2 linked regions of the Saccharomyces cerevisiae S288C genome follow. The protein of the gene in region 2 interacts with the protein of the main gene of each other region in a biochemical or structural test. Each region holds a gene or a part of one and is shown on either strand. Other genes may lie near its edges. The genes, in order: TCM62 and SDH2.

Region 1 (4,264 bases), on a different chromosome or scaffold from region 2:
GCTGGAAAAATGATAGATGTGCCCATGGGGCCCATCATGGAGGAAAACGCAATCAAGAAGACAATCATCTTTTTCATCATCGGTGGATAATCTCTGGCATCCTTGAACTCCGGTATAATGGCGAGTTGAGGCAATAGTCCCCTACGTTGATTCTTTGGAACAACGTATTCCTCACTCTTCAACCTACTTAGCTGGTTGTCTCTGTGTTCACGACTATTTGATGCCGTACTTTCCAGATTGGTCTTTTCGTAACTATAATCGTTGTGCTCGCTGTGCGGGCTGCCGCTGCTTTCATCGCAGTGCATCATAACATGATTGTTCGGTAGTGAATTGTCAGAGCAATTACTCCTCAAAGACCCTACATTCGATTGTGAACCTTGGGCTTGCATGTTTATCGCTTTCTGACTTCGGTCCTAGCATAGACGTTAACAAGTTAGAAAGATGTGAATACATATGCCTTCAACCCTGTTTTCTTTTAAGGATACAAGGACACAGCTATTACAACAAATTTTGTTGGTTTCTATCTTATCTAATCGATAATCTTTTAATATTTTAATCTAATCGCAGTTATCCAAAACTGGAATGAGATGGTTCAAATCCCCAAAGGTAGATGGAGTTACTGCTGAGGCGTGGAAAAACCCGAGTTTTTCCGAAGCCGCATATGAGAAATTGAGCAGGAATAATAGATATTTACGAAGAGGTAAAAGTGATAAAAGGCAGCGCCGTGGCAATATCTATTTACAATGACTCATTCTGACTATTTAAAAGTATGTAAGGGCTTTATCTAGGCTTTGTGCCGTTCAGGCTTTTTGTATACACATGTGATAATTGTATTACAGCTTGTAAGTAATTCAATGAACGTTTCTACACCGGCTAAACAAGAATCCATTTTGCTCCATGGCTCCAAGTTTCCATCCTTTACTGTGTTCACCGGTTCTGAATTTGGAGAAAACTTGGCCATTGGAAACGATTTTTCGTTTATAGCGCCTGCTATCAGGCTATTGATCTCATAATAGTTGTACCCATATGCATTCTTAAACGCCACTTCTGATGGGAGAATAACTGCTGATAAAACAGCATTGATGCCTACCTTAGTCATGAAATTGGGTTCATTTGCTTTCAGTTCATTCAAACCTGGAATTGCCTTCAGTAGGGAGATGCCGTAACCTGGGATGAAACCTTTGGCCAGCCCATGACATAGGACGTTATTTAAGCAATTATCTATTGCATTTCTTCTTCTGTCGATTTCGATTTCGTTATGTCCACCAATGCTTAAAGTGACCGTATTTTGGAGGAAGGATTTCGGAACTTTATTTGGAATCGCTTCAGCATCAATGGAGTTATATAAGAATGCCTCCCCTGTGGTCGCTTTTATGGATTCGATACTGCCGTAATATTTATCCGCACACATTTTGCTTGGCACTAAAGGACTATATTCTGGTGAGTAGATGCTGTCATATCCGCAAGGCAACCGTAAGAACTTTATAAAATCAAGATTCTCCTGTGGCGCTAAGTCATTGTTCGCCTTTTTAGAGTACTTCAAAACCACTATTCGGCTTTCATTATTTTCTCTCTTGTTTCTGTTATTGTTAATTGTAACGGATGTTAATGCATCACCTGTGCAATCTCCGTTAACGATTAAGAGAACAGATTTTCTCAACTTTCTTGCATACGTTATCGTGGGTAGAATTTTATTAGCGTCTCGTAACGTCCCATCATACATAAGAACTAGCATATCTTTATCAATGGAAACTAATTTCTTAGTAGGCAACTCCAGGGACCTTAAATAGGCTTCATTACTATCTAAAATACCAGCTGGATATTTCCAACCCTTGGATACATCAACCTCATCGTAAGTTTTGTTGCCGTTTATGACCCGCACAATGTCATCCGAAAACAATTCATAATTAATGGCTTTCAAAACCCTTTTGATGCTTTGGCTGTCTGAGGAGGACATAGTCAATTGCTCGACCAGAGCATCAACATCGTTTTGACTTTTCACTATAATCTTGTTCTTCGCAAGAAAATCTCTGATATATCGTAATCCGGCCTTGATCCCATTGGTCACTTCTTTTTCGGGATACTTGAAATAGTGCTCCAGTAAAGAGCATGTCAAAGATGTTGAAGTTGCTGTTAAGTTGTCCTGAATGCAATCCATGAATAATTGTAGACCAACCCTCCCCAGCTTTCGAGGCCTGTTTGATTGAAGTCGTGTGTTGGTAGCTTCATCTACTTGTAGGGAATCTAGTAACTCACGCATTACATTGTGAAGTCTCATGGTATCATGAGAACTAACGACCTGTGGCTTGGATTTATACTTAGGTTCATATATCAATGTTTTATTGTAGGAGGATGAAGTTATTATTTTTTCCAACAGCTTAATACCAGAGAGCGTATCTCTGAGAACCTGAAGGTTTTTTGTTCTATAGATTGGGGTGTGTAACGTTTTTACCGAACATTTCGTTTGATGATTTCCCAATTTCCTCAAACAATTCCTCAGCATACTCGTTAAAGCATAAGAGAGTTTTATGTTTACAGTAGTGTGGGAGAAAATAACGCCAGGTTAAAGCTCGTAAAAGGTAAACTATCGCACTATCGAAACTTTTGTTTCACAGGGAATGGAAGAAAGGGCCTTTATTTTTTACATTTTTTTAAGCCATAACGGATTTTAGTTACCGAGATTTTCAATCCTATAAGAATTACCTAAACTATTAAAAGCGGACCCATCTAAAACATAACGTTCGGCAAGTAGATGTATTGTTCCAAAAAGGCAATACATCCATACAACGGTGCCACCGATCTGTAATGAATGCTCCGTAATGTTTGGGGGATTCATTAAATTTACTGCTGGAACCGAGAGAGAAACACGACAGAGCAATTCATATAAATGAATAAATGAAAACTCGGTCGTATTGCCCTTAAACGTTTATAGGACCAGGTTGGCTACTTCCTCATCTCAATTTTGTGATAGGGGAGGTCTGCGTAAGGAATCAATTCGGATACCTTGGTAGTACTTTTAGGGGCACATTTTTTATTTCTACTTCTTGTATTATTAGGTATCACTGAGATCTATCTCTAATGATGCCTTCACTCCCACAGATAGCGGAAGACATTAATGCACTTCAAATCAAAACTTCTTCAACTAAAGCTACTCTTTTCGAACGCAGAAGATATAATTTCATTCCTAGAGACTTTCTACGAACCTAAAGTAGCAAATTTAAAAAAATAAAGAGTTTGATCCAACCGAGGTTCGAACTCGGGATCTTCGCCGTGTAAAGGCGACGTCTTGAACCACTGGACCATTGGACCCGGAACTCGATACTATGTCATTTTTGGATATCGGTTAGTTGTATACATTGGATATCTCATCTAAAAGCATTACGCATGCCCTATAACTGGTAAATTCAATGAATGTTTTGTAAGTTGAGGGGATGCTAATTCCCTACGAAGTATTTCTATATTATGTGCAACTACATCAAGAAGATAATATTAAAGTTGTTGGAATAAGAATCTGTTGGAATGGAAATCAACTATCGTCCATCAACTATAGTTATACTACTGGTATTATCATATACGATGTTAGATGATGACATAAGCTATGAAAAAACTGCCATTGAAGTTAAAGGAAGCTGAAATGCAAAGATTGATAATGTAATATGATAATGAAACATTTAAAACGGAATGAGGAATAATCGTAATATTATTATGTAGAAGTATCGATTCCATTCGAGGATTCCTATATCCTCGAGGAGAACTTCTAGTATATTCTGCATACATAATATTATAGCCTTAATCAATAAAAACCCCAAGAATTACCTCAAAATTCACCAATATCTCAAAATCAACCTTCATCTGTCTACCAGTAGTCATATTATTATATGTTATCATATACAGTGTAAAAAAGATGATATAAAGATTGAAAAACAGTCATCAGATGTTTGGGAAGCTGAAATAAAATATAGTAGGACAATGGGTGACAATATATAAAATGGAGAAAGAAATAGTAGCCTTATTACGTAAAAGTATCAATCTCTTTTGTAAATTTTTGTATCCTGGGGAAGAACCTTTATCATATTCTCTATTCCTAATGTTATAACCTTAACAACAACGAAATCCCAAAAATTATGACAAAATCCACCAATATATCAAAATTCACATAAAGAAAGCCGTATTCTATATAACATTGCAGAACATTTTTCTAACACATTACCAATCGTCAAAGTTCTGCCTTTACTAAATCAGGTGCTGAATTTTGAATCATATA
Region 2 (3,438 bases):
TATATACTTTTGAATATGTAAGATATAATTCTATATGATTTAGTAATTTATTTTCTATACGCTCAGTATTTTTCTGCAGTTGTCGAGTAGGTATTAAACGCAAAAGAAGTCCATCCTTTTCATCATTCAAATGGACATCTTGGCAAAGGGCCCAGTTATGGAAAATCTGGGAGTCATACAACGATTGCAGTTGGCTATGCCACTCCTGGTAAGGAATCATCAAGTCTGATAATTCTGTTTTTTAGCCCTTTTTTTTTTTTTTTCATGGTGTTCTCTTCTCATTGCTTTTCAATTTTAAGTTCGTTACCTTTCATATAGAGTTTCTTAACAGAAATTTCACAACGAAAATATAATTAACTACAGGCATGTAAATATAAAAACAGTCCTTTAATAATAAACCTTAAGCATTACGCGTGTATTAATATAATAAATAGTTATAAATTGAATAAATAGGGGAGAGAAGCCAAAAGGCCCTTCAAAAACAAAGATATAAATTCATCCTTAAAAACAACAATACCTGAAGATACTAGAACACCTTGTCGCCTATGATGGACATATATACAGACCGGGTCATAGCATTGCCAATGATAAATAAATAATAGTCATAGAGAGTAAACATAAACGCCTAACGTATAGGAATGTGTGAGAATGGTGAGTTTCGTCCTTGAAAATAATAATAATAATAGTTGGTGCTTTTATTAGTGCCAAAATCATTTGAGAGGCTTCTGAGTTCTTCGGGGCTAGCTGTTTTTCTGATAGTCTAGGCAAATGCCAAAGATTTCTTAATTTCAGCAATAGCCAAACCAGGATTCAAGCCCTTTGGACAAGTTCTAGTACAGTTCATGATGGTGTGACATCTGTACAATGACATGGAGTTGTTTAGCATGGCCTTTCTTGTCTTTGTAGCTTGGTCTCTAGAGTCAATTAGCCAACGGTAGGCTTGCATTAGCACGGCAGGGCCCAAATACTGTTCTTGGTTCCACCAGTACGATGGACATGAAGTAGAGCAGCATGCACACAGAATACATTCGTAAAGACCATCCAGTTTCTTACGATCTTCAATACTTTGTAGCACTTCCGTTCCATCCTTTGGAAACGATGATCTCTGTAAGTAAGGTTGGATAGATTTGTATTGTTGGTAGAAGTTAGTTAAATCAGGTACCAAATCTTTGACAATAAACATGTGGGGTAATGGATAGATCTTGAGTTGTTTGGATTCGTTCTGGTCGATCTTACATATACAAGCTAGCGTGTTTCTACCGCCAATGTTCATGGCACATGAACCGCAGATACCTTCTCTACATGATCTTCTAAAAGTTAGGGTAGAATCCTGTTCGTCTTTGATCTTTAACAGCGCATCAAGTACCATGGGCCCACAGTCATTCAGATCCACTTGATATGACTGTAAATGAGGTTTAGCACTTGGCTCGTCTGGATTCCATCTGTAAACTTTAAAAGTTTTCAATCTGGGGGTATGCGTAGCTGCAGCTGTTGTGGCAGTAGCCATACCCTTCTTCGTCACCAAACAAAAGGCCTTCCTTCTCAATAGCACGTTCAACATCCCTATAAATATGTATACTCCAGTATTTCAAGAAAGTATAGCTCAACTATATTCCTTTCAATCCCTTCCTTTAGCCTAACATTTTTTGGCATTCTCATAGAAAGTCATTAATCCCCTTATATAAGTTTGCCCTTTTTACACCGGAGCTAATTGGGCCAATGCGAGGCCGCCTTTTGCGCGCTGCGGATATTTCTAAGGCATGGTCGTGCGGAGCTACAATAATACGATTGAATTATAGCTACATAGTGTACAAAAGCGGGTATATACTTTCATATGTGATCATAGGATAGCTTCACAGTACTTATTGTATTCTCTAACAGCAATGGCGATGTTCCTGTACAAGGACCGACGTTCTTCAGGATCGCTGATGGGAATGAAGTATTCGGATTGAGACTTGAGTTTAATTTGAAGACCGGATCTTTCCAATGTAATTCCCTGGATGGAAGGATATCCTGTGCTCCACATAAGCTCTTGGGTGGCCATTTGCACCTCAGCAATGTGCTGCATGGACACAATTACTGCTAGTTCTTTGCCTGGCAATATAACGTGCGACAGGTATTCATCATTCATAAATACTCCTCCATTCACGGTCTTGAGCCAGTATTGTCCTTGGGCCTCACGTAGATCATAAGGCTTGATGATTTGATCATGGTCCACGTACCTTGGTAGACGCACTCTGCAACCCTTTTGCATGTCAAGCACAGTGGTGGTACTTTTCACGCCTTGACTTAAGTTACTTGTAAGATCTAAGAATCCAATGGCTGTCTTAGTTGGCAGCCCAACGATACCTTTACCAAGGCCTTTGAGGAAACCAGCGGCGCCTTCCTTTTGCATGGCCTTGTATGGGTCCAGTGCAATTCCGCTCAACCCGCTTCCCAGTGTGCTGGCAAAGGATTGCGCTGAGTTTGCCAAGGCATTCCTGTTGTTTTTATTTATTCTTTGTTGTAATCTCCTGACCCTTTGGAATTCCAGATCTTGTGTAACTGACAGGCCCTTGGCCATCGACCCCGTAAACTTGGACATACTATCAGAGAGGCCAAAGACTGTTTTCTTTGCAAAACTTAGTCCACCTTTAGCCAGATGTATACCAATTTCTTGAGGCCTATCATTCATCATGTAACCTTGATATGGTTCATAGAATAAGTCCCAGACACCGGAACTAATTGTGTTGAAAAGACCTACAGGATTACCAAAACAATCTGCTGATCCTAAAATTTTGTGGATCTGATACACGAACTGGGTCGTATAGTGTCTCTCAATATGGTCCATCAGAATGGGCAATGGGACTCTTACATTATCCATGAACAAAGAATTAACTTTAACCGGCGCCTCATTTATATTACCTAATGTCATAGCAAACATATGGACATAGTACAATGATGACGAAAATGACTCCTCGGTCTCTTCAGCCAATCCTGGACTAATTTCATCGGAGCGTATAAAGGACAGATGTAAGACGGTGGGCTGAATATGGAAGATCTCGAAATATATATCACCCGCCGTTTTTAATTCAGAAACATCAGGTAACTGGATTTCTTCATCGTACTTATAATCTCTTGAATCCATGATCCATGGGGATCCTGGGAATTTTATGAAGTCCATCATAGCATACAGCATGTCTTCATCTAATTGTATGGAAAATTCCTGGATTAATAACGTAACATGTTTAAAGTATGGGACAGCCTGTAAGGAATCGTTGACTTTAGAAATAGAACCTGATATCACTGGATGATTTTCAATTTCCTTTTCTGTGTAGGGGATTTCTGTTGGATATAGAATATTTGAGTAGTTTCCTGAAAATAATTGATTATCTATTTGCATCCATTTCATTTTCCAACTGAAAGTCTGGTATGCTTTAGATTCATTGTATCTTAATT

What was found.
Region 1: the proteins of SDH2 (region 2) and TCM62 form a complex in vitro, tested with the Saccharomyces cerevisiae proteins (one study listed by BioGRID).

What each region holds. Positions count from the first base shown.
Region 1 is NC_001134.8:323,557-327,820, forward strand, and holds TCM62 (Tcm62p), read right to left. Parts: upstream 2,504-4,264; coding exon 785-2,503; downstream 1-784. Other genes in the region: QDR3 (Qdr3p), read right to left, coding at 1-389. UniProt on the Saccharomyces cerevisiae protein: Chaperone. Required for the assembly of succinate dehydrogenase subunits. Ensures mitochondrial gene expression at elevated temperatures and prevents heat-aggregation of the ribosomal subunit VAR1.
Region 2 is NC_001144.5:52,371-55,808, forward strand, and holds SDH2 (succinate dehydrogenase iron-sulfur protein subunit SDH2), read right to left. Parts: upstream 1,562-3,438; coding exon 761-1,561; downstream 1-760. Other genes in the region: ATG10 (E2-like conjugating enzyme), read right to left, coding at 1-220; membrane morphogenesis protein VPS13, read right to left, coding at 1,841-3,438. UniProt on the Saccharomyces cerevisiae protein: Subunit of succinate dehydrogenase (SDH) that is involved in complex II of the mitochondrial electron transport chain and is responsible for transferring electrons from succinate to ubiquinone (coenzyme Q). SDH1 and SDH2 form the catalytic dimer.